3 linked regions of the Tamandua tetradactyla genome follow. The protein of the gene in region 3 purifies or fractionates together with the protein of the main gene of each other region. This does not show direct contact. Links are inferred from orthologs where the notes say so. Each region holds a gene or a part of one and is shown on either strand. Other genes may lie near its edges.

The links.
Region 1: the proteins of KLC3 (region 3) and YWHAE purify together in Homo sapiens (affinity purification with mass spectrometry; 3 studies listed by BioGRID and IntAct, with this or other methods). This does not show direct contact. The link is inferred for Tamandua tetradactyla from reciprocal best matches to the Homo sapiens genes KLC3 and YWHAE.
Region 2: the proteins of KLC3 (region 3) and KIF5B purify together in Homo sapiens (affinity purification with mass spectrometry; 3 studies listed by BioGRID and IntAct, with this or other methods). This does not show direct contact. The link is inferred for Tamandua tetradactyla from reciprocal best matches to the Homo sapiens genes KLC3 and KIF5B.

What each region holds. Positions count from the first base shown.
Region 1 is NC_135332.1:55,180,817-55,190,886, reverse strand, and holds the start of YWHAE (14-3-3 protein epsilon), read left to right. Parts: upstream 1-6,145; 5' UTR 6,146-6,268; coding exon 6,269-6,332; intron 6,333-10,070. UniProt on the Homo sapiens protein: Adapter protein implicated in the regulation of a large spectrum of both general and specialized signaling pathways. Binds to a large number of partners, usually by recognition of a phosphoserine or phosphothreonine motif.
Region 2 is NC_135327.1:219,146,490-219,156,889, reverse strand, and holds the start of KIF5B (kinesin-1 heavy chain), read right to left. Parts: upstream 4,235-10,400; 5' UTR 3,758-4,234; coding exon 3,632-3,757; intron 1-3,631. UniProt on the Homo sapiens protein: Microtubule-dependent motor required for normal distribution of mitochondria and lysosomes. Can induce formation of neurite-like membrane protrusions in non-neuronal cells in a ZFYVE27-dependent manner.
Region 3 is NC_135342.1:15,650,799-15,660,055, reverse strand, and holds the start of KLC3 (kinesin light chain 3), read left to right. Parts: upstream 1-5,441; 5' UTR 5,442-5,545; intron 5,546-5,883; exon of another isoform or gene 5,884-5,984; intron 5,985-8,831; 5' UTR 8,832-8,839; coding exon 8,840-9,097; intron 9,098-9,257. UniProt on the Homo sapiens protein: Kinesin is a microtubule-associated force-producing protein that may play a role in organelle transport. Plays a role during spermiogenesis in the development of the sperm tail midpiece and in the normal function of spermatozoa.

The sequences.
Region 1 (10,070 bases), on a different chromosome or scaffold from region 3:
ATTTCAGGCTTTGACATGGGTTACAATTTCACAATTTTAGGTTTTTACTTCTAGCTGCTCTAAAATACTGGAGACTAAAATTTAAATGATTCAGCATTCACATTCGTTTAAGTACTATCTTCTATGTGCAATTCCACCATCACCTTTGATCTTTCCATACCACTCATTGGGGTTGTTTGGGCTATATGGCAATTCTAAATTTTTGATATTGGAAGGGTCTATCACTAATATGGGGTAGGGAGATGGAACTATCTGATGTTCTGGAGAGGCTGGGCTAGGTTTCAGGACTTATCTGGACCAGGAACCCACCTGGAAGTTGTAGGTTTCTCGCAGGTTACTCTAGTGCCTGGAACCCTTGAATCTTATAAATTGCCCTAGGTGTTCTTTGGGATTGGCTGGAATGATCCTGGTTCGGGGTTGGCAGGTTATTATAGGTAGCAAGGTCTACCTGAAGCTTGCATAAGAGCAACCTCCAGAGTAGCCTCTCAACTCTATTTGAACTCTCTCTGCCACTGATACGTTATTAATTATGCTTTTTTCCCCCCATTTGGTCAGGATGAAATTGCTGATCCCACGGTGCCAGGTCTGGATTCATCCCTGGGAGAACTCTCCCATGTCGCCAGGGAGACTTTCACCCCTGGATATCATGTCCCATGTAGGGGGGAGGGCATTGATTTCACTTGCAGAGTTAGGCTTAGAGAGACTGAGGCCGCATCTGAGCAACAACAGAGATTCTCCAAAAGTAACTCTTTGGCATGCCTATAGGTAGTCCAAGCTTTTATGCTACCTACATAAGCTTCACAAGAGTAAACCTCATGATCGAGGGCATGGTCTATTGATTTGTGTCCCTAAAGTTGGAAACAGTATCAGGGGATTCCCTGATGGTCAGGTTTAATAGTTCCATAGGAGAAATAACTTTTTTTTAAAATTGTATTAGGACTATTGATTTTTTTGAAGGATGACTACCTTCCCAACACACACAATTTCAAATAGATTAAAGATATAAATGATAAAAAACTGTAAGAGAACAAGAAGAAAGTATAGGCACAAATTTTTATATGTTTGGATGTCTGGAAGATTTTTATAAAGATGACAGCAATCTGAGAGGCCCGTAGGAAAAGACTGTAGGATCAGACTAAAAAATATTTGAAACTTCTCTGAAGGTCACCATAAAGTTAAAAGCCAAATGGCAAAGAAGAAAAAATATTTCCATCATATATAACTGCCAAATGGTAATGTCCATAAAACACAGACAATTCCTACAAAATAATAAGAAAAAGACAACCCAATAGAAAAATGAACAAGGATAATATACAGAAAGGTTACAGAAGAAACACAAATGATAGATAATTATCTTCAAACTTATAAAACAGCCAAAGAAATGCAAGTTAATGAGACAGTCTCTCCTCACCCATTAAATTGTCAGAAATTAAAGCAGATTGATAATATCTGTGTTGGAGAGGATGTAGAGAACTGGGCAGTATCATATTTTTATAACATTTATGAAAAGCAATTTCACAGTGATCATAACAATGAAAGTGGGCATATACGGGGGTTTCTGGGGAGTTTGTGGAACTAGGGGCAGTTTATATGAGTTATCGTCACTTTGTGAACTGTTATTGCAGTGTGATCAGTCACTCTTCTGTTTGCATGTTACACTTTATTAAAAAGATTACAAAAAAAGTGTGCAAATTCATTGACAATAATTTCTCTTCTAGAAAATAATCCCCCTACAGAAATACCCATATACATGTGTAAAGATAAAAAGGAGTTAATTGCAGTATTAATTGTAATGAAGCAGGATAAAATAGGACAACTGTAAATTCCTGGTTTCCTATTCAGCTCTCAATGAGTTAACAGACAACTGCAAGTCTCTTGCTTCTTATCTCGTGCCAAAGGAACTAACGCAAACTGCAAACTTCAGCTGCAAACTTTCTGGGACAAAAATTTCCCCTAAAGCCCCCAAACCTCCCCCAAACCATGGAAACTTTCCTAAACCACAAAAGTTTGTAATATTCTGGGCATCAAACAAATTCTTAGTTAATAATAGGAAGTATAGGGTCATAAAGATTATTAACCATCTGCCCAAAGACAAATTTTAGGTATGAGACAACAAACCAGGAATGAATTCCCCTAGTTATCTCTTCCTAAAACAAAGAAGACACCTAGTTTCAAAAGTTACTATGGAAACCTGCCACCAGTAAACCTTTCCTATAAAATAAGCTTACACACTACACTCAGCCCATGTCCCTCCCTTGGGAGCATCCTCATTAACCTCTTTAACGTGTACTCTCTCCTTTAACAAATTTTACTACTGATTCCTACTGGCCCTCTCACCTCTAAATTCTTTTAGTGTGGAGACTAATAATGAACCTGGATCGAACCTGGATTGGGGCTCAGCTGGCACCACTGCCAGCGGGCACCGGTTATAGTAATAGCAAAACTGCAGAGAGCTTAAATGTTCATCAGTAGAAGATTTCTTTCTTAAACATCCATACAAGGGAATACCATAAGGTAATTAAAAAGAATAAAGTAGTTTTATAGGTACTATTCATGAAAAAAGCAATCTGCAGAACAATAATGTAGTATAGTCATTTAAAAATTTCCACCCTTTGATTCCATAAATTAATGCATGATAATAAAGACATTTATGAAAATACAAAAAAGTATAAATTTGAAAATGAATCACTTGTAGTCCCATTACTGAAACAAAACTTATTTAATATTGTTTTATTTTTCTGATCTTTTTAAATAGGTATAATTGTATTTTAACAACACAATACTGAATATGTAATTTTATATCTTGGCTTCTACATACATTGTGAGAATTTTTCATGTGACTGCATAACTTCAAAAATGCATTTTGATGATAAAGATATATAGGGGAAAAAATTAAACTCAGAAAGGTCTAAGATTTTTAAATGAGCCTATATTTATAATAATATTTTAATAAAATAATGCTTTAGGAACACAATAGTGGTAAATGTTAGAAAAGCAATAAAACTGCAAGCTCCTGGGGGCAATGACTAATCACATTTTTTTAATAACGTATTTCCTTCTGTGAGTGTTTTTAGTACGCTGACATGTATCTGTGGATACTCTCATCCAGACAGGTCAAAAGAGCTCTTATTTCTATTAAAGCAAATTCTGTAAAGTTTGGAGACTTCTACTTAAGGGTGTGACCTTAATGACCTGTTGTTTTAGAGGATTTTCAATGGAGTGTAAAGTATCTATTAACACAACAGTGGTAAAAAGGGCAGTATTATATGCTAAACAGCCATGTTTTTTTTTTATGTGTTTATAATTCCAGATGCCATTTCAAAGTCTGTTCACAATTTTTGGTGCCCTGTAAACAATTTCTGTAAACCTTGTTTACTTAGAGAATAGGCAGTACAATCTGAGAATCAATCTAAGTTTAAGATTTCTGCCTTCTCAGCAGTTTCTTAGGAAGGGGCACCTTCGGATAGACTCTGCTAGTCTTTGGAAGCAGTGTTGAGAAGCTCCTAGCAAGGAAAGAAGACGCAGTTGGGAAGAAGCGTACCCACCCCTAATCTCTGCATGTCCGTGACAGCTCTGTATTTGACCTGGCAGCAGAGCCAGCTTTCTAAGGTGGGTGGGATACGTGAACATGTGGAACAAACCTGTGGCTCAACAATATGTGACCACCCCTTTTGGCCACTCACAATTCCATTTTCTTTCCTTTCTCTCAGATTACTATTCTCTCACCCTCCATCTCTTCACTGCTGTTTCTTGAGAGAGCCCTATACTCAACCCTTCCACCCCCTCTCCTTCTTTGAGCTTCTGCCAAATGCAGCCTGGCTTCCAATACCTTTTCCAAGTTGCTCATGAGGGACACTAAAGACCTAACTCTATACCCAGTGGCTTTTCCTCAGTGCTTATCTTATTGGATATCTCTCCATCATTTCACACTACTTACCACCCCCTTTTTTTTTTCTTCTCACTTATATTAACTTATGTTTCTTACTCAAGCTTGAATCATAGAACCATTGATAAGAATTGCCAAACACTTATGGAGTCTCAGGCACTTTTCATGCAATCTCCCACTTAATTCTCATTTGTATGAGGAAAATATCTTTCTCATCTTATAGGTGAGAAAACTGAGATTTAAAGAAGATGAATGATTTGCCCCCATAACAGAGGCAATAAGTAGCTTTTGAATCCAAGATGTCCAGAGCCCATGGCTTTAACTGCTGTGATGTATCGTACAGAGCTGGAAGGGATCTCGAGTCCAGAAAATCCAGTTCCTTTACTGTACAGATGAACTCAAAGCTCAGAGGGTTGAAGTGTCCTGCTGAAGGTCATACATTTATTTAGTCGTAGAATTAGAGCTAGAACCTAGATCTTTTGACTCTTAGTCTTTTACCACTGAAATCTGTTAAGTGATAATAAGTGTGAAGAAGCTTAATTTGGAATGCAATAGGAAGCCTTGCAGTCTCCTTTGCTGGCTCTTCTTTCACCTACCTTTGAAACACAGGTGTTCTCTGAGGTTTTATGCTTGGCGTGCTGCTGCACTTCCAAACACTCTCTAGCTGCTTCCATGGCAGCCTACCTTCTATTTCTAACTCCAGTCTCCCTTTCCAAGTTCATGCAGGGTATTTCTACTTGGATGATCTTTGGGGACATCCCCTCAGAATCAACATGTGTTAAATGAAACTCATCTCCTTTTTCTGCAGTACACCAGTAAGTCTTCCTGTCATTCCATTTTTCGTTGTTTATGGTACTGCCACTCACTATCCCAGTGACTCAGGGTGGGAAGATGGAAAGTTAGTATTGATTTTCACCCTCTCAGAATATTTCTAAATCCTGTCATCTACAAACTCTTGGGGCTTCTACCTCTCTAGTGCCGTTCCTATTTATCCTTTCCTTCCTATTCTCACTGCCACTATCCATTACCTTTTGACTGGACTATTGTAATATTCTGATCATTTAACATACCTTGTAACCATTGTTATTCAACACCTACTAATCTCTATGCCAGTACTATCTTTGCCAGTACTATCTTTCCATGCAAAATCATCAATAGCTCCCTTGTGTCCACAGAATAAGATACAAACATCTTAGCTTGCCATATAAGACTCTTGGTAATTTGGCTACAACCTACTTTTCATTCCACATCGACTGCAGAGCCCACCACATAACTTAGGTTTTATTTACCTGTTTTATTCTTTGCACAGCCATTTATTGAGGAACTGGGAAATCCATTTCCTCAATAAATTACTGGTGTACTGCAGAAAAAGATGAGTTCCATTTAACACATGTTGATTCTGAGGGGATGTCCCCAAAGATCATCCAAGTAGAAATACCCTGCATGAACTTGGAAAGGGAGACTGGAGTTAGAAATAGAAGGTAGGCTGCCATGGAAGCAGCTAGAGAGTGTTTGGAGGTGAAGCAGCACGCCAAGCAAACCTCGGAGAACACCTGTGTTTCAAAGGTAGGTGAAAGAAGTAAAACGGTCCAGATCGTTGCTAACACCAAGCAATTTCCATTGACAGATCTTCCTACTTCCTCAAAATCAAGTTTTCCCTTGGTTCAACTTTTCGGCACCTTGTAACCCAAAGCAGGCTCCCCGAACAACTTTCCTGCTCCTATCCACGTGGACCTAAGCATTAAAAGAAGGCTAAAGGGGAGAAGAAAAAATAGAAAGTGCAAGGAAGAAGACGAGATGTAAAAACTGGAATCCCCCCTTAGCAAGAGCCCAACACTTTACTCCGGGTTTAAAAAGTCTGAAAAGACCCAGGACTGGGTTTAGTCGTGAGAACCTGGGCACGGTAAAGGAAGCCAGTTGATTTCGATAGGGAGGCCTGCCATGACAAAAACAGCCTGTCCCTTTCCCTGCCCTTCAGTCCTAGGCATGGGCCCACAGTAGTAGCCCAAGATCGCTCGCTCAGTCTTTTCAGGCGCGGTTCACACGGGCTGCGCCTCCGGCTGTCCTCTCTCCCTCTTCGCCGTTAGCGCTGCCCCTCAGCTGCGGTTGCAGTCTCTACACTCCAGCTCCAGCGGAGCCAACGGAGGCGGGGCGTCTCGCGGGTTTCAGCCTCTTCGAGAGCCGAGCTCGAGGGCCCGCCCCCCGCGCCAGTTGCCAGGGAGCGGTTGCCATAGAGCTGAGCAGTTGTCCGCGTGCGCAGGCGGAAGTCCCGGATTGAGGCGCCGCCATTTTTGCTGCCCGGACGCGGAGCAAGAGGCTGAGAGAGTCGAGACGCTATCCGCTTCCATCCGTCGTGCACACCCTGCCGAAGCCGCCGCCGCTATGGATGATCGGGAAGATCTGGTGTACCAGGCGAAGCTGGCCGAGCAGGCCGAGCGATACGACGGTGAGTTGGGGGGTGCAGTTGGGGGCTGGGATTCTCGGACCCTCTGCCGCCGCCCACAGAGGCCAGGAGCAGGAGACAAAATGGCGGCATCGTCTCCGGCCCTGACCTGGGGATGTGGATTCGGGAAGGAGGAAATGGCCTCTGGGTTGCCGGAGCTGTGGGAGGCTCCAGGCCCAGGAATTAGACCCCTTCGGTGTCTTCAGTTGCAGCCATTCGCGGGCTAGGAGACTAAGGCGATAGGGTGGAGGAGTTGGTTGTAAAATGGCGGCTGGGGGAGGGCGAGTCCTGGGGCGGGGGAGGGGGGAGGAGATGGCCCCGTGCTGTCTCCAGGCGAGCAATTCCGTGGAAGCTTCTGGGACTGTCTTGTGATATGGAGAACAGTTGGGTGGGGTGATGGGGAAGAGGCACCCGCCACATAGGGGACGGTGGAGACTGGGAGCTGTAGCGCTGGTGTCTTTCAGGGAAACATGGCGGGTGGGGGCGGTGGCTTTTCCCCGGAGGCCCAGTGTGGGGCGGCGGCTGTGGAGACTCACAAAGGAGGACCGTTGCGAGCAGAGGGTTTCTTTGGACTTGGGGTGGGGGACATTCTTGGTGTTGGTGGGAGAGTGGGAATCACTGCAGTTCATCTTTGGGCGGAGGCAAGCTGAGATGCTGCGATCGAATTCCCTTCCCGTAGGGTGGCACACCTTGTAGTGATGGTTTTTTGGGCTTTACGTTCAGCCTCGCCTACTTGTTCTTCTGGGGAGGTCCAGAAAACCTCATCCATTCTCCTTTTCTTCGGACTTATTCAGAGAAGCTTGAAGTTCTTGTAATCTTTGGTTCCAGGAGCAGTGGGTTCTCGTGGATAGAACCTTAAAGAGGAGACAAGGAGATCGTGTTCTAATCTTTCCCGTGTCTCAGTTTACTGGTTGTAAAAATAATGACTTTTCTTTTCACATGCACCTTTATGAAAAACGTAACGACCTTCTGTAGAAGAATAAAATTATTTCAAATAAGGTAGAGTAGCTGCATTTTGGTTAACTCCCCAGGATCGGAGTGGTTCTTAAGCTATTCCAGGTACTTAACTGATGCATCATATGAGAAAAAAAATCTTATATGGTCCCTATGCAGATAGATGTTTTTATGCTTTTGGGGGGGGGGGTCTGGCATGGTCGTCATTAAGTGCGATCCTTAGAATTCTCTTACTTTTTTAAACTACTTATTTTTCAAAATGTCGTAGAGCTCTTGCTTTCCTTGAATACCACTTTGGTCATGCGAATAGCCTCAGGGCTAGCTCTAGTGTTTCACCAGAAATTAGGATTCGGGAATTTGAAATTTTGGTAGGTGGCTAGAACTCAAATTTAGAGAAGGATACTGCACTAAATTTCATCGTCTAAGTCCTTACATTGCTATTTGTATGAGGGAATAAGATGGGAAGTACAGCTCAAGGTCAGATTTGTCTTTATTTCGGTGTTTAAAATTCAAACAATTGTAGGTATGCTTGCAGTGGGAGTTTTTTTTTCCCACTTGGTGTCCCAAATAGGTTCCCCTTTTAATCTGCTGTTGCCGTTGGGGGAGGAAACTTTAAATTATATTTGAATGCTTTCTGTTCTGTAGGGATTTAGACTCTGAGTAAACGTGCTGTGATAACCAAAAAGGATCTTGAGGAATGCTTTCTTATTAAAAAAAAAAACACCAAAAAACAAAACTCGTTTTAAAAGCTGATCTGGGAGCTCATGATTGTATCTCCCAAATAAAGGATAATTTAGTGATAATCATGTTTTGGGATTGAGTGCTGAGGAATTTTGACCCAAGTCTTTATTGATTTTCAATATAGGACTTTTTTTTGCTGGAGCCAGATTTTTACATTGTTTAAATGTTACGTTTTCATTTCAAGGGCTAAAGGGAGAGGAAAATAGGATCTACAAAGGTGGGGGAAACTCCTGTGACTATTTGTGATGAGTTTCAGTGGAAAGGAAGAATACTCACTGGGGATCAGTCTTTACCTGTGTCCACAGATGCATAGGTTTCTTATTGAGCACAATCAATGAATTCAATTTTTTGTTGCCGAAGAAATGATCCATAGTTCTCTACACCAAAAAAAATTTATCAGGTGTAGTGAGTGGAAGAAGATGAAAAATTCATTTGAGTGGTTTGGATTTGGGGTACTTAGGGGTAAATATTGGCTTTCCAACTGCACTAATCGCTTTTTTTTCTCTGTCCTTGCAGTATCCTTGTCTTTTGTGTGCTGTGTTGAACCTAATGTCTAAACTTCTTTGTAGATTCGTTTCCTATTTAATTCTGTCCTAGGGAATTGCAATCAATTTATAGATTTTTTAATGGTATTAGACGAAGAGACAAGCTGTTTTCAGGAAAATAATAATTTGGGGATATATATATGAAATATTGAAGTTTGCTGTTAAGACCGTTCACTTTGAAGATTAAATTTGACATCTTGTCACTTGAGCAAGTCAGATTGTGTATTGGTAGCCATATTAGGCAAGTCCCTTCATCTCTTAGCAATCCTGAACCAAGTCTTACTAGTACTTTTAGAAAATTGGGGAATACAGAGGAAAACAAAGGCTCCTTTTCCCATTTTGGAGGAGTAGAGGAGTAGGCATAAACTACATTTGGGCTTGTGGGGTAGTTCTTTTGTTCTTACCTCAGTTTACTCCTGTGAAGATTGGTTGCAGAGTTTTTGATGATCACTTTTTATTCACTTTCTGTGTGATGAATGCATCAACACCAGGAATATCTCTGTCCTGAATCTTTTACTTGAGAACTGTCCTTGTAAAACACCAGAGCCCCACCTCTATCTTACTCTAGTTAGAGTGGTGGGGACCCTATTGTGGACATTCCTAAGCACCCTTTTTCACCTGTATATAACAGAAGTCTCAATTTGAACTCTTGTATGGGGAAGAATACATAAGTATTAAACTAAGCAAACTTTGGATTCATTAAGTACAAGCATGTGCATGGAAGGTCTGTACAAACAAGCATGCTTTTCATGATTGTTTTTTAGCTTGGTCAAGGGAATATGAAATATATTTTAAATATTTAAATAGCCCAGTAAATTAGTGTGTCTGATTTTACAGATGGGTTTCAAATACTTTTGAGAAGCTGAACTGAAAGCATGACTGTTAAAAAGAGGACCATAAGGCAGATTTTGCAGGAATTTTTTTTTACCTTTTATATGAAGAAAATGTGTATGTAAACAATGATAGGTTAAAGGTTAACTTTTTAGACTTTACATTATATAATACTGTATATAGTTTTCACAGTTCACAGACCATTTCACATGAGGTTTTTACTTCATATAACATCATTGAGGTATAAGTAGTGTTACTTCTGTTTTATGGTTCAGAAAGCTGAATTTGACAAGATTTAGTGGTATCTTCCCCTCTCCCCACATAGTCACATGACTAGTTGGCTAGTAAATGGCAAATTTGTCTGGTCACCTTTAGACCCATACTCTTATTTTTCCTTAGCGGCTCACAAAAAACCTATATATAACTAAGGTGGTGCTTGTTTTTCTTTAAGCAGTTACCTCAAATTAGTAATACATCTTTATGACTTGACTAGTATTATAAAGAGTGATTATTAGTAGATAAAACATAAATCCCAACTCAAAGCATAGTGAATGCAGTTAGAATTAAGTAATTGTAGAATGTATGTTCACTTACAGCTTCTGTGACCAGTACCTTTAAAAACCATTGTTTAGTACTGGGGTATGATTGCTGCCATGCATTTGTATAAAAT
Region 2 (10,400 bases), on a different chromosome or scaffold from region 3:
TAGATAAAAATAAGTTCTTCTAAAGCCATTTTGAAAGAGAGTCAATTGATAATAGTAAAGCCTGCTTCAAAGTACTTTTTGAAGTGATGCTAGTGTCACCTCATAGCAAATAAGAACTACTACTACAACCTTATGAAAAGAATATTTACTGGCAACTATTGAAAGGTGAGATGCAAACAAAAATTAACTGAGCTGGGACTAAGTGATTTATGTAGAAAATGCTACTGTCAAATAAAAAATTAGTAAGTACTTAGCATTAAACTGACAAAACAATCTTCTTAGATTTAATTCTAAAATTAAATTATAATTATAATTTTATTAAGTAAAGCTAATGCTCTGATTAGAGTTCTAGCCATAAAGTTACTGACTTTTTTTTTTCTGGTATTTTCAGCAGCCTTACATTCCTGGGATGAAAAGCAAAACTTGTGAAACTAAATTATTCCTAATGGTCTACAATTAAGACCTTCTCAACTCATCATCTTTTCAATAAAACAAAGGAAAACTCAGTATCTGGACAGCTATGTTAAAGAAGCTTGATTCTTAGATCTGAAATATGTCTTCTGTGGCCTTTATTTCTATTTAGCTCTGAAGATACTCAAAGTTCCAGATTTTCATTCTACAAACTCCACATCATAAGATGCCCTCACATTTGACTTGGGTTTCAAAGGGACAGAAATAGGAATAATTGTATTACATGAGCTGTGATCATACCTTAGATTTCTTAAATGAAGTGATTCCTGTTTGAGTGCAAACGGATTCTATTTGTATCATTTAAAGGTTTTTTTAAAATAAACTTTTACTTATTTCATTCAATATGTTACATTTACAGCACTTCACCAAGCCCTTAATAACAATTAAATTTGTACAAAAGGTTACAGAGCACAAAGAAACACTTCATAGAGACTTGCCTGCCATGGGGTCATATTAAAGTCGCTGACATATGAATAACAGAAAAACGTTTTAACAGCAAAGTATTAGAAAATGAACCTTGAAGAAAATCTTAAAAATTCTTAAAAACTATTTTCTACATCAGCAGTTTATGCTTTTAAATGAGCAACAGCATAAACTATACTTATTCTTCAAATTTACTTAACTGGAGCATTGTATAGAAAATGTTTTAAAACCATGTTTAAAATAATTTAGTTTTAGATGTTGCATTGCAGCAATTCCCTCCTAAACTACATATTTTGAATTAGGATCAGGATCCAGTAGGTTTAACAAAACAAACCTGGAGAGGATTTTTGTTTAGAGATTTTTTAATTTCACCCTTCCCAGCTACCGTTATAATTCCAAACAAGCTTTTTTTAAAAAATAAAACAGTTCATTTAATAAAGTGAACAAAAATATGAGGCCTTGAATTAATGTACTTACTATATGCAAGAAATTAATTCTCGAAAATAATGAACTATGTTGCCTCACATTTTTCAAGGCTAGTCACTCAGTTGTATTTTTGCTTATACTATGTTGCTGTTCTTTTTTTTTTTAACCAGACTAAAATGCCTACCAGTTTATCTTAAGGTCAACTGTTATTAATTGATTCACAACTCAATCACCTATCCATTATTTCCAATATTATCATTTAAATTTATTAACATTTCCAAGGAGGTTACAACTTAACTTATTCCAAAGGAAACTACTTAGAATAGACATATGCTTCCCGTGGTAATTATTTGTTTCTTTTAGCTCTTTCCTCATTTTATATGTCATATTTGGGCTGCAGTAGAAGGTTGACTTCCAACCTATCCTTAATACAATTTATGAATTTTAAATTTTAGCATTCTAGCAAAAGAGTATTAGCAATGCTTACAGATACTGCATACTCAAAAAACCTGGAGAAATAAGACATTCTTAATACAAGCTTTAAAGGAAAATAGCTTTGATGTGTCAAACACTGTTGAAACTGGGAAATCACAAAAACTCTGAGAAACTAGACGCCTGATGTATGCCAACTAACAACCCAGGCCCTGCAAGCTTCCTCTGATTCCATGCAAAGAAGACAATTCTAAAGGAAAAGATGACTGATTTCTTTTGTACTTAACTTCTTGTCTTCCCAATGATGTCATTAATAGCAAGAGTTTTTCTTGTGGACTTGTTAACAAAGAAACAGCCTGACAGTCTTCACACAGTAAGAGTTGGCAGTTGTGTTAGTGATCTAATGACTTGTTTGCCAAAAGCCTACCAAGAGCAACGTGGAGCTAATGCGTGCATTTTCTAGAGCTGAATTTTGGGAGCCTTCACATAAAACCTCAAAGGAGTTATATGCTAATACTTACAATCATCAATATCCCATCTCCTGTGGCTTCTTTGCCCTCATTTCCAAATTAAGCTACCCAAACAACATAGTAAATACAGATGCCATTAGGGAAAAAAATCAACATGTTAAAAATTGGTACCACGAAAGCCACGCAGAAAAAAGTTCTGCCACATGCTATTACCAAGAAAGAAGAATCTTATTTTTGGCCACAGTTCACTATTCTGTATGCAGTATCTTACTATGCACGTTAACCTCCTTGAACTGGGAATGTTATTTTCAGAGACCTTTTGGTTATGAAAGACACACTTCTGGTAGGGATATGCCTTCCTCTAGAATTCTGACTAGCATTGTTTTCACGTCCTATGGGATTATACCATATTACATTTTCAGAAGCATAAAAATCAGGTATCAAAAAACAACCACCTCACATTCTGCTCCCCTTGACAATGATAAACCAATTCTAGTTAAGTTATGCTTTACCCTACAAAGGGACACTAGGTCAGCATCGTTGGGATTATCTAAATGAATTTTCTTCACCACGGATTCTAACTGTTAAGTATGACTCTAATACCAAGAATGAGAAATCTAGTTCACTGGTCAATTTCTATCTTTTTCAAAAGTTTGCTTCTTATAATTCTTTCTGATATACACCAAATAGTAAAGCTCTTTCCTAGATAATTATATCATAAAACCCAGTAAGGGGGAGATTTTGGATCCTTCTGGGCACTTATTTGACCGATCTGACTATTCTTTTTAGGTCTCGATTCGCCATTTGCTTTTGTTAATAAGAAAAGTCACTCATAACTCCAAAGGCTGGTGAGTGAACATCTGAGGTACAAGCATATTTGAATTATTTTGCTAATTTTTCTCCTCCCGAGACAGAAACAATACGGTTGAACATGCAGTTATATATTTCTATAAAACAAAGCCATCTCCTCTATTTAAGTTACAGTAGGGCTGGCCTCATAGTTCAATATTGCTAGCTGAACTACTTTCTCCTAAGTATTTTATGAATGGGGGTTGTCCAAAACAACAAGCACCACCAACAGTAACTACACACACACACCTAAACAAACGCAACTATGCACTAAACTTGCTCCCCGGATGGTTCCTCCAGCGCCCCGGGTGGGGGAGTGTCCCAGCCTGAGTCTAGGCACCTCCCATCACCGGGCACCGAAGACCAGGGTGGGGACGATTCAGAAAAACCCAGGCAGCTGCGCAGTCTTCCTATCAACGGTTATCTGAACCGGCAAACCCAAGTGGGGAGGGCTGGGACACCACTACTCCCTTCTCAACTCTGCACCTCGCCATTGCCCTGAACTCCCCGACCAGCCAGGTCCGATGACCAGGGACGGGCGGGAGGGGGGAACCACTCACCGCCATCATGACCGTGTCTTCTCCCTGAAACTTGGCGACGTACTTATCGCCGCGGTTCACTTCAGACTCGTTGAGAGGTCTGAAGCGACACATCACTTTGATGTTGCACTCGGCCGGGTCCGCCATCTTCCTCGCCGCCGGGTCTGGAGGCCGGGAGCCACTCCCCGCTGCTTAGTCTTGGAGAAAGCAAGCACGAGCTGATGAGGTTCTGGTCTCCGGGGAGCGCCAGCGAGCCCGGGTCGCGGGGGTACGGAGATTCCGCAGACGCCGCGCCGCGCGTCCCCGGGCGGGGCAGCCGGGGAGCGGAGACTGGAAGCGCCGGCGCCGGCAGCCGTCGGCCTGAGGCTCACTTCCGATCCATCATGGCAGCCATGGCGGCGGCACTCGGCAGAGCGTCCCGCAGCTCCCCAACTTCTCCCTTGTCGGCCGGGGCAGACTGCGGGACCTCCGGGAATTCTGAAGACCCAGAATGCCGCCCCCTCCTTCCTCCTCGAGAAAGAGCCCGCCGGGTTGACCTGTCTGCCCTCCCGGTAGTGCGCTCGCCGGCTTGCGGGAGACCGCCTGATCCGACAGTCTCCAGGGCGCAGGCGCAGGCGCGGCGACCGGGCGGCGGGGAGCTGAGGGGAGCTAGGGGGTGCGGCGGCCAGCGGGGGAGGGCAGCTCAGGGCGGGGCGGGGACGGCGCAGGCGCAGGCGCGGCGGGGCCGAGGCACTCGGGCGACCAATCAGCCGGCACCTCCCGCGACCGTTCCTCGGTGAGGAGCTGCAAATTCAAGTTTCTCGGAATGCTACCTTGAAAGACCGCGTTTGGATACTCCCCGCCGCCTGCCACTGATATTCCCCAGCGCTTTCTTTTCTTTGTCGGGGGTTGGGAGTTGTTTAAACAGTTCGTGTAGTATGTTTTAATAAAATGCTATATTCCTAAAAGGAAGCGCTTGCTTTAGTTTTGTTCTGGAGGAGAAATTGATTCCTAGCCCAACTTTTTTAGAACGGCTGCTCAGACAAAGGAAGAGGATTTGGATGAAGAGTGGAACATGGCTTTCTCTTTAAGAGGTTGCTCCTTCCTGACAGTCGGCTGGGGAGACCAGAATAAAAAAGGAAAAAGAAATTCCCTCTAGGGAAGCGAGAAAGAAAGTTGCTGAAGAAATACGGAACACTAGGGTGAGGTGTGTGAGGCCATCGGTGAATCGGAGGGTTCCACTTCGCTGATAATAAATTTTAAGACATTATCAATCCCAACATCTGAGAAACGACTGAGCTGGAGTTAGCAGAAAGATGTTCTTAAAAGGCTCAGGTAAACGTGTGTATTGCAAGTCTGAGGAGCACCCCGCCACGGTTGATTTCGCTTCCTCTTTTTGGAAGGATGTCATAGAGGATATATAGCTTCATGTGTAAATGACTGAGGCTCTGGGGAAGGAGAACTGAAAAGACAGTTAGGAACTCTTTTTCGGTCTCCAGTTTTTGTTTGTAAAATGAAGGCTTGGAATGAAAACCTCCAGTGTGCCTTCCTGGCCCAATCATCCTAGTACCACCGAAGATTAACCCACAGCCCCAAAAGATTCAGGTTTTTGAACTCGTTGCAATGAGGAAAAACTCACACCTGGGAGGAACCCTAGGGCATCTCACCAAACAAAGGAAAAGATGGAGTTATCACGGGATTAGGGAGATGTATGGAGTTTATGTAAAATTTAGATGAAACACTGTTTTGAGAAGCACAAAGCGCAGCACACCTGTGTGAGTCAAGGGGTCAGTACCGGGACTGGACCGGCTGTGTGAGTCAAGGGGTCAGTACCGGGACTGGACCGGCTGTGTGAGTCAAGGGGTCAGTACCGGGACTGGACCGCCAAGTGGACCCAGGGTCCTGTTCCTTTAGAAATTATAAAGGTGAGAGACATGGAATGTAGTCTTCAGAGACCCCTTCTCCAAAGCTCTGCACCTGGCTTGGAATTTGAGGCTTCTTTTCTATGTCTTCAGTCCTCCAGGTGACACTGGGATGTTTCATTCTTAATGCTATAATCTCTAACAGCAATTTCTGATAGTCTGATTTTAGAGATCAAAGTTTCTCAGTAAGAAAGCAAAAGTCACTCAAAGAATGGGATCATTGTGACTCTTTACAGATGCAACATGTCCTTGGGAGAAATACTATTTCTTGTTAACTTTGCAGCTGGCTTTATGTGTATTTGTTAGTCCAGTCTGGTGAATGACAGATTTTTACTCCAGGGATGACAGTGCTTTCCTTCCCTAAGACTAATTTTTCATCTGCATTTTCCAACTTCATCTACTCTCTGGATCCTATTAATGGTCCCCATCTTCTAACAACTTTGATTTCTCCCTTTTCTCAACCTCTCTAAAGGGGTGTGTGTGGGGGGGGGGGGAGAAAACAAATATGTTTATTCTCCCCGTCTGTAAAACAACAACAAAATCTAACACTTTTGGTGTCTGTTGTTTTTAATCTTTTTTGCTGCCATTAAGTAGGTGAAGTTTATTAGAAGGGACCGTGTTCACCTGGACAGCCGCTCCTTCATCTAAAGGAGGCAGTGGGGACTCAACTTCCTCCATGGGCAAGATAGGCTAACACTGTCAAGTCTTCCTATTTTCAAGAAAAGCCATAACCCAGATTTTGTGAAAACTCCCAGTTCTTAAATAAATTGCCCATTTATTTAAAAATAATTTAAATAATGTGTACGCTAGGTAAAACATTCCTGCAGGCTGTAGATGTCAGATGGGCCACCAACTTTCAGCCACACTGCAGCAGAATTTCTTGAAGGCTTTGTCCTCTGCCCACTGCTCTTCTCTATGAGCTCACTTCAACAGTTGTCAAATCTGTGTCAATCCCAGCTTTTCACTTGTGTGACATTTCCATCTCCAGTTGCCTAGAGGCCACCTTGTTTAGAATGCTCTATCATAATCTCAAAATTAACTCTGCAGAAATAAAATTAATTATCCTCTGCTCCCTGCCAATATTTAATTCAACTATTCAGCTTTCCAGTTGTGATGATGAGTATCATCATCTTCCATACTCCCAGGCTAGAAAAGTTATAATCACCTCTTAACTCTGTTTCCTTCATGCCCTACAATCCAGAAAAGAAGCACAGTCACCCATATCTGAAGTTCCTCAACTTTTACTCCATCCTTCCCCTTTATAACCAGTTCAGAAGATATGAGGAATGATTGATTTAGAGTAGTGATTTTTAGACACCACTCCATGGATCCCTAGAGATTCCAAAGAAGTGAGTTAGGAGACTTCCTGGTTGTGGGAAGGGAAAGGAATGGTGAAAGGGCCAAGGAATGAAGTTCTAAGAACCTCTGCTCCTCATGGTATTGACCAACTTCTGTTGCCTTTCAAATCTTGACACTTCCTTCCCCTTTCCCAACAGATTCTGGAAGCTCAGGCTTTATGAAAACAAAAGCCAAAAAGGGAAGTGTCTGCAAGAGCCTTCTGTTTTCAGTCCTGAAACAGATACTTTTCAGCAAGGAAAAACAAAGATCTTGAGTGTCATCACTGAACCAGGGCAGAGAAAAACACTATGTGAAAAGCACAGATACAAAAATTATTCTGTCGTGCTAATAAAGAATAGCGGTACTAGGCAAAAACAGCTTTAAGAAATATTTTGTTAGGGGACCAAAAGATTGATAAAAAACTGGTTAATCCCAGTTTTCTTCCAAGTATAAAAAATGTTTTCATTATTCAGCCTTAGCAGTGGAACAGTAGATTTCTTTAAGAGTCCATTGAGACTCATTAATATAACTTTTCCTGGTGAAGATGTGAGTGGTACTTTCACCTGCACACAGTTAGAATATTAAATATCTGCTGTGGAAGAATCTCCAAAGATGATCCTCCAATGAACCAGGCCTACATGAATTCACAACTTTGTGTAGTCCCTCTCCTTTAATCTGGACCGGCCCTGTGATTCAGTAAATGTGGCCAAAGCGTGATATCTCATGACATCTGACAGTAGGTGAGAAGAAGCTTCAGAGCTTCTGCCTTGGTCTCTTCAAACAGTCTTTCTGGGAACTCTGAACTGCCATGTAACAAAAACAACTTCCCTGAGAACATCATGCTGGAGAGGCCATATGTAGTCATTCCAGTCAACAGAGCCAGCAGACCACAGCCTTACAGCCATCCCCACCTAGGTGCCAGGCATGGGAATGAAGCCATCTTGAACTGTCCAGACCAGCACATCCACGAGTTGAATACCACTGAGTAATCTCAGTTTATACCCCTTGAAGCAAATTCCTTACCCATTAAAATCCTGAGATATAATTAAAAAGTTAGTGCCTTAAGCTGCTCAGTTTTGAATAACTTGTTACATAGCAGTAAATAACTGAAATAATACCTTCCAATTTGGAATCCTGGAAATAATTCTATAAAATGTTACTTATGTATCATAGATATACTTAGATTGGACTATATTTTGTATTAATTTTAAATTAAGTAGTTGAAGGGAACCTAAGAACATAACCACTGTTTGTATCATTGTTAATATAAGAAAATTTCTTTTATAATTTCAGATGAAGTGACTTATTAAAAAATGGGCTTTCCCCAGTCTTGGGGTTTGTTCATATGAAACTTAACCCCACAGGGGTCAAGCCTACATAAAATTAGGCCTAAGAGTCACCCCTAGGAGAACCTCTTTTGTTGCTCAGATGTGGCCTCTCTCTCCAGCCAACACAGCAAGTAAACTCACCACCCTCCCCCTGTCTACGTGGGACATGACTCCCACAGGTGTGGCTCTTCCTGGCAACGTGGGACAGAAATCCCAGAATGAGCTGAGATTCAGCATCAAGGGATTAAGAAAAACCCTAGAATGAGCTGAAACTTTGCATCAACCTAGAAAAAGAAATAAAAAAGAAAAAGAAAAAAACTCATACATAATACATACCATACCCCATACCCCTCCCTCTCATTGACCACCAATATTTCCATCTACCCAATAAATTTTAGCCTCTGCTTCCCCTATTTTTTTCTATACCCCTTACCACTCCCTTTCATTGCTCACTAGCATTTCAATCTACTAAATTTATTTTAACATTTGTTACCCCATTATTTATTTATTTTTAATCCATATGTTTTACTCATCTGTCCATACTGTAGATAAAAGAAGTATCAGACGCAAGATTTTCACAATCACACAGTCACATTGTGAAAGCTATATCATTATCTAGTCATCTTCAGGAAACGACATTGCCCAGCTTGTACCACTTTTTGTTTCTTCCGGAGTTAATAATTGCCTCACTTTTTCATCATTTTATCCCAAATCTGCATTGGAAGTATAAGGCTAGTCTTGATACAGTTGAACACATCAGGTTGCCCATCGGTTTTTCCCTTGGAAACACCCCCCTTTATGGTCTCTGTTCTTCTGCTCTAAATTGGACTGGTTGCTTCCTGGCACTGATGCATAGTTGTCATCCTGGAGGTTCCACTCACCATTATCTTTCATATCCTCTTTACCTCTCTTGTTGGTTGACTTCCTTTTCTCCTTCATTTTAAAGAATATTATTCATTTAATAAATATTTATGAAGTGCTTGTATGTATCATGTATTGTTTTAGGCACAGGGAATTCACCAGTGAACAAAATGTCCTGCCATATGGAGGTTACATTCCAGAGAAAATACATGAAAGATAAATTTTTTTGAAATCTTACATATATAAAATATCTTTAACTTCAAACTTGATTGATAGTTGGGCTGGGTACAGAAATCTAGGTTAATAATCACTTTCTCTCTGAAATTTGAAGCCATTTCTCTATGATCTTCTTCTAACTCCTGTTTTTAGTGATGAGAAGTCTGATTCCTTCTGAGGCCTAATATTTGTATGCGATCTGCATTTTCTCCCAGGCAGCTATTAGTATCTTCTTTTAAATCTATACTTCTCTGCTTTGTTTTCTATTTTCCATCTCTTTTTTGTTTTTGTTACCCTTTTTGGGAGAATCCCTCAACTTTATTTCTAACTTTTCTGTTGGTTATTTCCTTTAGGAATATATATATATATAGCCTCCCACCCTCCCACTCACAAGAAATCTTCTCTGAATGGATGCTTTTAATGAAATTTTGGTCTTGTTTCATAAAGCAATGTCTTCTCCTACGTTTTGTTTTTAGTTTTTTTCTGCTTTCTAAATTGTCACTGTGGTTGTTTTGATCTTTGTCATGCAGTTTAGAGGATCTCCTCAAGTGTGTGGTGGGCCTGAGTGTTCTAAAATGTTTGAGTGAGAAACTACACTTGTTGGAAGTTCTGTGCATGTGGGTAAGGTTTGCGGAGTGATGGGTTTCACTACTGGGTGACTGGCAGGACCTAGCCATTCCATTAGGGAAATTCTAAATGTTATTTTGGGCTGCTGATTACTTTCCCCAGAGAGGAATTCTCCAATTTCTTGCCAAGTGAACTTAAGCTTGGCTTGTGTACCAGACTTTTCTTTGAGGTGGGTGGGGTTGGTAGATCTCAGCCTTCCACTGGTAAACTTTTGTGTCTCTTTTTTCAGGAAGGCGACTCACTTCTATTCTCAGCTGTGGCTGGTTTCCCTGAGTTTACTTAGTCTATATATGGTTCAACGTGTGCAGAAAGTAAGCTTCCTTCCTTCTGTTGTGCTGGAGGAGGGGGGCAATCTTCTGGTTGGTGGGAATTATTAATTATTTCTATTTGCAGCCCTACCTGTACTTCTGCCTCCAGAGTAACTAGTTTTTATAATTCCTAAGGCTTTCTGGGGTGCTCCTTAGTGAATTGCCTTGCTTCTTGTTGACTTTCTGCCCTCCAAGCTTGGATTTCTATATT
Region 3 (9,257 bases):
TATTCTTTACATTGAAAATGCTACGTTTGAGTAAATTTGGAGTGTTTGGATGGTCACGCATTCACATTTTGTTCTCTTTTCTGAAATGTACTTTTTAAAAATGAAGGCATGACTTCTATTCAGTGAACTGCCCTAATCTTAAACTCTGTGAACTTTGACATTATCTGGACGTTGGAGTGACCACCACCGGGATCAAGATACAGCTCTGTCAGCAGCCCGGAAAGCTCTCTCCTGTCCCTTTCCAGTTAAGTGTCTCCTCTCCCCTCCAAGGTAGCCACGGTCCAGCAGGGGTGTCCTCTCTTGCCTGGGATTGCTTTTTTCTCAACATTATTTCTGGTGATTCCTTCATCCTGTTGCATGTAGCAATAGCTTGTACTTTAACAGGTTTTGTTATATTTTTGTGTATATTTTATTTCTTTTTCTTCCACAAAGAAGCCATACCCCTTTCCTAATCCCCCTGCCTGTTGGCATTTGGTTTTGCCATTGGAAGCACATGTATATTTTATTTGATGATTGGCCTGTTCTAAAGATTTTCTCATTTCTTTTATTATTTCTTCTCTGTCCTATGAGTATTTTTTAAGAATCTTTTTATTATTGGATAAAAGATGACTGGAATACTATGCAGGTGTTAAAAAGAATAAAGTGGATTGTTCTAGTTTGCTAGCTGCCGGAATGCAGTATACCAGAAACAGAATGGCTTTTAAAAAGAGGAATTTACTAAGTTGCTAGTTTACAGTTCTAAGGCCGAAAAAGTCCCAATTACAACAAGTCTATAGAAATGTCCAATCAAAGGCATCCAGGGAGAGATACCTTGGTTCAAGAAGGCCGATGAAGTTCAGGGTTTCTCTCTTAAGTGAGAAGGCACATGGCGAACAGGGTCAGGGTTTCTCTCTCGGCTGGAAGGGCACATGGCGAGCAAGGCGTCATCTGCAAGCTTTCTCTCCTGGCTTCCTGTTTCATGAAGCTCCCCAGGAGGTGTTCTCCTTCATCTCCAAAGGTCGCTGGCTTGTAGGCTCTCTGCTTCTTGTGGCTATGTCGTTCTTCTCTGCTGTCTCTGAATCTCTCTTTCTCCAAAATGTTTCCTCTCTTATAGGAGTCCAGTAAACCAGTCAAGACCCACCCAAATGGGTGGAGACACGCCTCCACTTAATCCAGTTTAACAACCACTCTTGATTAAATCACCTCTCCAGGGAGATGATCTGATTACAGATTCAAATATACAGTATTGAATAGGGATTATTCTGCCTTTATGAAGTGGGTTTTGATTAAAACATGGCTTTTCTAGGGGACAAACATCCTTTCAAGCCAGCACACAGATCTATACATGCTAAGTGAAAAAAAAAAAAAAAAAAAAAAACCCGATATGCCTACAGCCACAAAAGCTCTATGAAACACATCTCCCCCCAAAAAGTTCAGTGGCTTTAAAACAGCAACCATTTATTCTCATGGATGTGGGATTAGCTGAGGGTTGGCTGATTGGGTTGAGCTCAGGTGGGAAATTTGTCCCCCACATCTCCACCGTGGGGTGTGGGCTAAAGGGGGAGCAGCCACGTAGGAGAAACACTTCTGATGATGATGCCAGCGCATGAAAGTAAACATGCAAGGTCTCCGAAGGCCTAAGCGTAGAACTGGCAAAGTTGTCACGTGGCCAAGCCCAAAGTCAAGGCCAACGAATCTTCAGCCCACCTCCATGGAGAGGTGTTTCCTCACTTGTTTTACTTCAATGGGCGCACACACTCCTATATCAGCACACAGCCCAAAGCCGTGGAAGATCTCTGGAAGGTATGTGAGAAGGTATCTAGGGATCAAGAAGAGATGAAGATATGTCATTGGTAACAGAGACCATCAGGAGTTAGAAATAGGGTAAGATAATGGGTAATTGGAGCTGAAGGGATACACACTGTGCAACAGGACTAGATACAAAAACTCAAAAATGGACAGCACAATACTACCTAATTGTAATGTAATTATGTTAAAACACTGAATGAAACTGCATCTGAGCTATAGTTTTTTGTTTGTTTGTTTTGTTTTTTATATATATTTTTTGTATTTTTTATTTTTAATTTTTTCTCTATATTATCATTTTATTTCTTTTTCTGTTGTCTTGCTATTTCTTTTTCTAAATCGATGCAAATGTACTAAGAAATGATGATCATACATCTATGTGATGATATTAAGAATTACTGATTGCGTATGTAGAATGGAATGATTTCTAAATGTTGTGTTAGTTAATTTTTTTAATTAATAAAATAAATAAATAAATAAAGAAGAGATGAAGACCTACTTTTCACTCCTTTTATATTCTGTGAATTTCTTTTTCTGACGGTGCATAAATTTTTCAATTAAGGGGGGAAAAATAAGACTTTTTTTAAACTGGCCAAACTAAGGGACCGGCAAAGCCTTCCTGATCAAAATGGGGGAAAGAAGTGTAATAAAATAAGGCATCAGTGGCTGAGAGACCAAATGGAGTCAAGAGGCTATTCCGGAGGCTACTGTTACCTGAGCGTCGGTTGGAGAGTGCTGATTGCCATGGTTTGCTAACCCCCAACCAGCATCACTCCTGTTGACTCTTCAGAACACCTAGGGCTGGAGCGGAGACGCTATAAAAGTTTCACACACTAATTTTGACTTCCTGGAACCTATAACTTCCAGAGGGTTCCCGGGCCAGATACATCCTGAAACACCAGAGGGACCAGCCTCTCCAAGGTTATCTTAAGTACATCCCCCTATCCTTTAGTGTTGAGACTCCTTCTCAACATGAAAAAATCAGAACCAGCATTACCTAAAGATCCCTATAGATTGGGAGAAGGAGCAAAGGAGAAGGAAGAGGTATGACAGAGAAAATAGGATTTAACAAATAAATATGACTGCTGAATCACTACACTGATTTTAGCCTCCGGTGTTTTGGATCCGCTAGAAGATAAAATCTGAAATATGAAATAATGGAGTGGTAGCCCCTGACAAACTCTGAAATCTATTCTGTTGAAGTGCACTTTGAAAATTGTTGCTTTTTCTTTCCTTTCTGTGTATATATCTTTCACAATTAAAAATGTTAGAAAATAAAAAAAAACTGGATGAGAGGTGAAAAAGAAAATCCTTGACCCATCCACCCATTTTCCTGAGTTGGCAAACTGAGGCCTTATGGAACAGGATGGGGTGTTTGTTGACTGCCTTCTTGGATATGGACTTGGGTAACCTATTTCTCCTCTCTGAGCCTCAGTTTCTTCATCTTAGGTGGGACTAATAATGGTACCTACCTCAGGTGACTATTGTATGGATTTAATGGCTCTGCTACTACTTGGCTGTGTGACTTTAGACAAGCTACTCAACCTCTCTGTGTCTCGTCTTCTTCATCTGTGGAATGGGGATAATCCTAGCACCTGCCTCGTAGGGTTGGTAGGAGAGCTTGGCTCAGCACCTGGGTGTGGCTAAGAACTCAGAAACACCAGCCCTCATTGGTGTGAGGGAAAGTTGCTTGGCACAGGGCCAGCCTAAAGAGATGGTTGCCTTAGTTAACTTTCTTCTTTCAACCTTTCCCTCATTGAATCCTTCCACAATACTGTGTGGTAAACCTGATCATCCCTGTTTTTCAGAGGAGGAAACATGGGCTCAGAATGAGGTCATTTCTTGCATAGTCACATGACAAGGAAACGACAAGGCCAGAATTCAAACTCAGATCTACCTGGCTCCAGGTCCCTTGGCCCCCCCACCCCTCCCCACACACATGTAGTATCTGCTGTGTGCCACCACCGTCTCCTAAGCCTTTTCTCGGGATGACTCGTTAACCCTCACAACAGCCTGATAAAGTAGATTACCCTCACAAGTCCTGTTTTACAGATGGGGAGCCCGAGGCCCAGAGAGGTTATCTCCCGGCTCCGGGACACACAGCCAGTAAATGGCCGAGCTGGGATTTGCACCAGTCTATCACCCACCCTGCCTTGTGTGCAGAACCAACATACAGTGTCCTGAGGCCAAAAGCATGGGAGTGGGTGTAAGGAGGGGAGCTCAGCTGTCCCTTTATCCCTCCCAGCCCCCTCTGGAAGAGTTAGATTGTGCATTCCATCATTTAGGCACCACCATTCTCCCCAGTGCCTTCACTTGTACTTGGACGTGCTAGGAACATGGCAGTGATGGGAGACAGACTTGGTCTTTCCTTTCCATAGGGGGCTCCTGTCCCGTGGTGTAAACAGACCCATTCCTAGACAGCTACAACCCAGAGTGGGCAGGATTGGGATGGGGGAGATCAGGAGGCTGCAGGACCCCCAAAAGGATGTCTGACCCAGCCTGGGAAATCAGAGAGGGCTTCCTGGAGGAGGAGAGGAAGCAACAGGTTGGCTGTGGCTCCGTGGGAGATAACTGACCTGCGCTGAAGTCGGGAGCCTGGTTCACGGTCCCAAGGCGCCCTCTGCTGGAAGCAGCCCCTAGTGCAGATGCTTGGAAAAGCGTGAGTTGAGGTAAAAATCCTGTGCACCAAGCTTGGACCATTTTATGATTCTAGGGTTTGATTCGTTTAGTCAGTCACTCAACAAATATTTATCGAGCACCCAATAAGCTCCAGGCTCTGTTCTAGTGCTAAAGATAAACTTCTGACAATACACAAGGTCAGGAGCTGACAAATTCTAGAAATGGAAGAAAATGTACCAATAATTATAATAGTATACAATCAGTGCTAACATTTGCTAAGTGTCTCCATATGCCCGACCCTGATAAACGTACTGTCCATATGTAACAATAACCCTTTGATTATTCCTATTTTACAGAATGGAAAGTGAGGTATAGAGAGGTAAAGTATTACCCAAGAACTGCACAGTCCGTAAATGCTGGAATCAGGATTTGAATCCAGAGCCCATATTTTTAACCATCATATTACCTCCCCTCTCTAATAATCTAATATAATATGATAACTGAGATGATATATGATATAAATGTTATAACATAATAAATGTGAAATGATGTGTTTATAAAATAACTTCAGGCCCTAGACAATTTTGTGAACAAGATCAAGCAGGGAAATGAAGTAGTATTTTGGTGGGAAGATAATTTAGACGGAGTGGTCACTGAAGACTTCTCGGAGGAGGCAACCTCTGATAAGAGACCCGACCACAGCGAGATCTGTCCGCAGATCTGTAGGAAGACGGTTCCAAGCAGCGGGCGCAACCAAAGCAGAAGCCCCGCGGCCGGCATAGCGCAGCGGCCATGGATCTGGGATCCCAAGCGTCCGAGATTCCAAGTTTCCGAGACGCTAGCTTAGCCGAGGCCCCTCTTTTCCAGGCCCCCAGCGCGCTGGGATCATCCTCAGACCCGACGTGCACCGACAGTTCTGCAATTCCCGCGGGGAGGCGCAGCGGGTCTACACTTTTCTGGGCCGGGGGGGCGGGGCCGGCCTCACCTGCGGGGGGCGGGGCTCCCTGGCCGCCCCGCCCCCCGCAGGTGACGCCGCGGTCGGAGACGCGGGACTCAGCCGGGCTCAGCGGGGAGCGGGGTGCGGCGCGGGTGGGGCGGGGCGCAGCGCGGCGAAGCGGATCCCGGAGGCGTCCGCGGACAGGTGGGCACAGGTTGGCGGGCTGGGCGGGCCGGGAGTCCCGGGGGACCGCGAAGATGGGGGTGTGGGAGGGGCTGCGGGGGCGGAGGGAGAGGCGCCGGGCTGGGCGCCCTCCTGGGCACGCTCCCCTGACGTCGGGGACGGGCCTCGCGGTCCCTGAGCGCCCCCTGCCCCGCCCTGGGGTCGCTCAGGGGGGTTTGGAGGCCCGGCCCGCGCCGCACCCACTCCCCCGCGCGCAGGTAAACAGCCGCGAGTGCAGGGCGGGGCCTGGGGAGGGGGTGCGGGGCAGGGGGAGAGAGGGAGTCCCTTGTGACGGGCGGGGAGGCCGGGGCGCGGGGTACTGGGCCGGCCCGCCGGGAGTAAGGTGGTGCGGACTTGCCGGGGCGGCCTGGAGCCTCCTGCCCGCCTGTGTGTCTGAGAGATGGTGCCCGAGGCCCTTGGGGTGTGTACGAGTGTGTGATGGTATAAGGCTGTGGGTGTGCGTGTGAACGGGAGAGGAAGCGTCTGGGTCACCGCCTGCGGGTGGAGGGCGTGCGTGGATGATGTGGGTTGTGTGATCCATGAGGTGAAAATGTGGATGACCTTCTGGTTGTGACTGATGGTGTGTGTGTTGGGAAGTTGGGCTGTTTCTAGGACTTTGTGTAGTGGGGCTGGTCAGCTTTCTGCTGATGGCTGTGTGTGTGTGTGTGTGTGTGTGTGTGTGTGTGTGTGTGTGTCTCGGGAGTTGGGCTGTTTACGGGAGCAGCCCTAGGTCAGGATGAATAATACAAGACTAGGCACCGTCTGGTTGTGTGTCTCTGAGCAACGCCTGTGTGCAGCTGTGTGTGCGAATGTGAGCAGGAGGTGTGTAACCGTAGGTTTGTGCCTGTAGGATGGTGTGTGTGTGTGTGTATGTGTGAGGGAACTGGGGGAGAGGTGGTGGCATGTCCCTGTGTGTGGCTGATGGAGGCTGGACTGTAGCATGGGACGGTGTGCGTGTAACTGTGGGTGGGTAGAGTGAGGGGTGTGTCTGTGTGTGTGTGGAGCGAAGGCAGGGAGGAGCGTGTCTGCACGGAGGTGCTGTGCCGCGGCCTGAGGCAGTGTCAGTGTGGGAGACAGGGGGGTGGGGATGGACAGACTGAGGGACGTGTGGGCGAGACAGTCCCCTGGCTCCCATGGGAATGAGGCTGGGATGGGTGTGACAGGGCAGACGCAGGTATCCGCATTGGCGCTCTGCATGCAGGGCGTGATTGCCATCCTGTCACCCGGGTGGCCGCCTGCTGTGGGGGCTGGATGAGGGGGACGGTGTGTCTGGAAACAGAACTCTGCAGTCACCCCCCGGGCACATGCAGCTCAGTTATGGCTGAGATTGCATATGACCTCGCAGCGCACGGGCTGAGTCCACAGGACCGGGCGACGCACGGTTGTGGTTGTCGGGGTGACTGCTGAGGAGCCTGTGCGGTTGGGTTTGACTGTTCGTGTGGTTTGTGTGAGACGAACACACACGTACACGTGTTGAAAGAGGGAGAGAGGTGGACCGGCAGCCATCAGGGCACAGAATGCCTGCAGGGCAGCCCTCCTGCCTGCGTGTGTCCAAGGGTGTGTGGTTGTGATTGTGGAGAAGGTGCCGGCCTCCCAGGCTCTTATGGGGTCCCTGTGGCTTCAGTGACATGTGCTGAGTGTGACTGTGGAACTGCCTTCTCTGAGTGTTAGCTGCCATCTATACTGGCGGAACCTACTTCCAGCAGGGGGAATAAGCTAAGTAAGTTCAGGGGTGACTTGCACGTGTGGTGTGCATGTGCACATGTGTGTAGGGGCATGAAGGCCTGGCTGGCCAGGCGAGGGGGCAGGCTGGAGAAATTGGGGGAGGTGGAGACCTGTCCATGAGGAATCTGGGGGAGAGGGTCGGAGGGGGCGTTGGCTGCTGGCGGCCCTGTGCAGGCGGGAGGGGGCATGGGGCATGGGGGCAGGTGAGGAGGTCCAGAGACCCTCGGAATATGAGGGAGAGGGGATTTACTTGGATCTTCCAAGATAAGGGGAAGGGGGAGGAGAGAGTTTCTGCACGTGTTGGCTTTTACGTTTAGAGAATGACCCTGAGTGTTGGGTTGTATTTCCAGGAGGGGAGAGTATGGTGTGTTTTTTCTGAGAAGAGTGTGTGTGTGTGTATGACATTAGGTTGTATCTGTGAAAGGAGAACATGGTGTGCATGAGTGTGTGTGTGGCATTATATTTCTAGGATAGTGTGCACTCGGTGTGTGTACACGTTGTATCTGGGAAGAGAGTATGTGTGTGTATTGTGTGGTGTTTCAAAGAAAGGAGAGAGTGTGTGTGTTGGGTTGTGTTTTGGAAAGGAGAATGTGTTGTCTGAATTTCTGAGAAGAGAGTGGAGTGTGCGTGTGCATGTCGTGGTATGTTTCCTGCAGGCCGTGTGTGCATGCGAGTGTGTCTCTGAGGGTCACACAGGCACCAACAGCTGGGATCGGTGACCTTGAGCCACCACTACCACCCGCATTAGAACCTTACCCATTGCAATCAGGGCCTCGGACCCTCGGCTGTCATGGGGCCAGTGTGACATCCGTGGGCCACGCCTGCCACACGCATGTCCCCACACGCCCTGGGCCACTGGGCGTGTATGTGGTGGAGGGTGGGGGCCCTGCTCCCCCCAGGTCTGTCAGTCTCCCCCATCAGAGCCACATGGGGGCACAGATCGCCCCCCCGCCTGGTCCCCCAATCTAGAGAGCTCCTCTACTTCCGGCACCCCAGCCTCTCAGCCCTCTCCATCCCACCCCGCCCATGCCAGTGGTCTGACTGGTTTCCAGCAAAAACACTCTAACAATGAGCTCATGGAGAGGCTGCCGCCTCCATGCTCCCTGCCTGGCTCCACGCCCCACAGAGGAGGGTGCCCGGTCCAGGTCCCACAGCTGGGAGTTCTGGGTCAGAGTATCCAGAGTCCTTGGGGTGGGGAGGAGTGGCCAGGTGAGCCAGGGGAGGTGTGGGGGCCACGAGCCTGCTGCATGCCTCTCTTGGTTAATTACACATGGCGGAGTTTGGACCTGTCCCCAAAGCTTCCAGAATGTTTCCAGATAAGGGCTGTCTAGGACAGGTGTGGAGGCAGGGGGCTGGCTGGGATGAGGAGGGCCTAGTGGCACAGGGAGAGGTTGCAGTGGGCTGGGGGGCGTCCTGCAGGCTGGAATGGGAGTGGAGGCAGGGGGGTGGCAAGATGGGGAGGAGTTGGGGGTGTCTTGCCAGCTGGGTTGGCCATGGGGAGAGGGGGCTGGCACCGACTCCCCCAACCCTGGCCACCCCCCAGGAGCAGCGATGTCGGTGCAGGTGGCAAGTCCTGGAGGTGCGGGGCTGGGCCCCGAGCGCCTGAGCCCTGAGGAGCTGGTGCGGCAGACCCGGCAGGTGGTACAGGGGCTGGAGGCGCTGCGGGCTGAGCACCATGGCCTGGCCGGGCACCTGGCAGAGGCCCTGGCAGGACAGGGCCCTGCAGCTGGCTTGGAGCTGCTGGAAGAAAAGCACCAGGTGGTGAGCCACTCACTGGAGGCCATCGAGCTGGGGCTGGGCGAGGCCCAGGTATGAGGGGCCAGGTATGGGGGTGACTTAGGCCTAGGGGTGGAGGAGGCCCAGATATCCTGAGAAATGTAGACTGAGGGGTGGGGTCAGGCTGAGGACAGGCAAGGACAGGTGTAGGTCTCCAGTATTGCAGAGGAGTGGGTCTGGGGTAGGGGGAGGC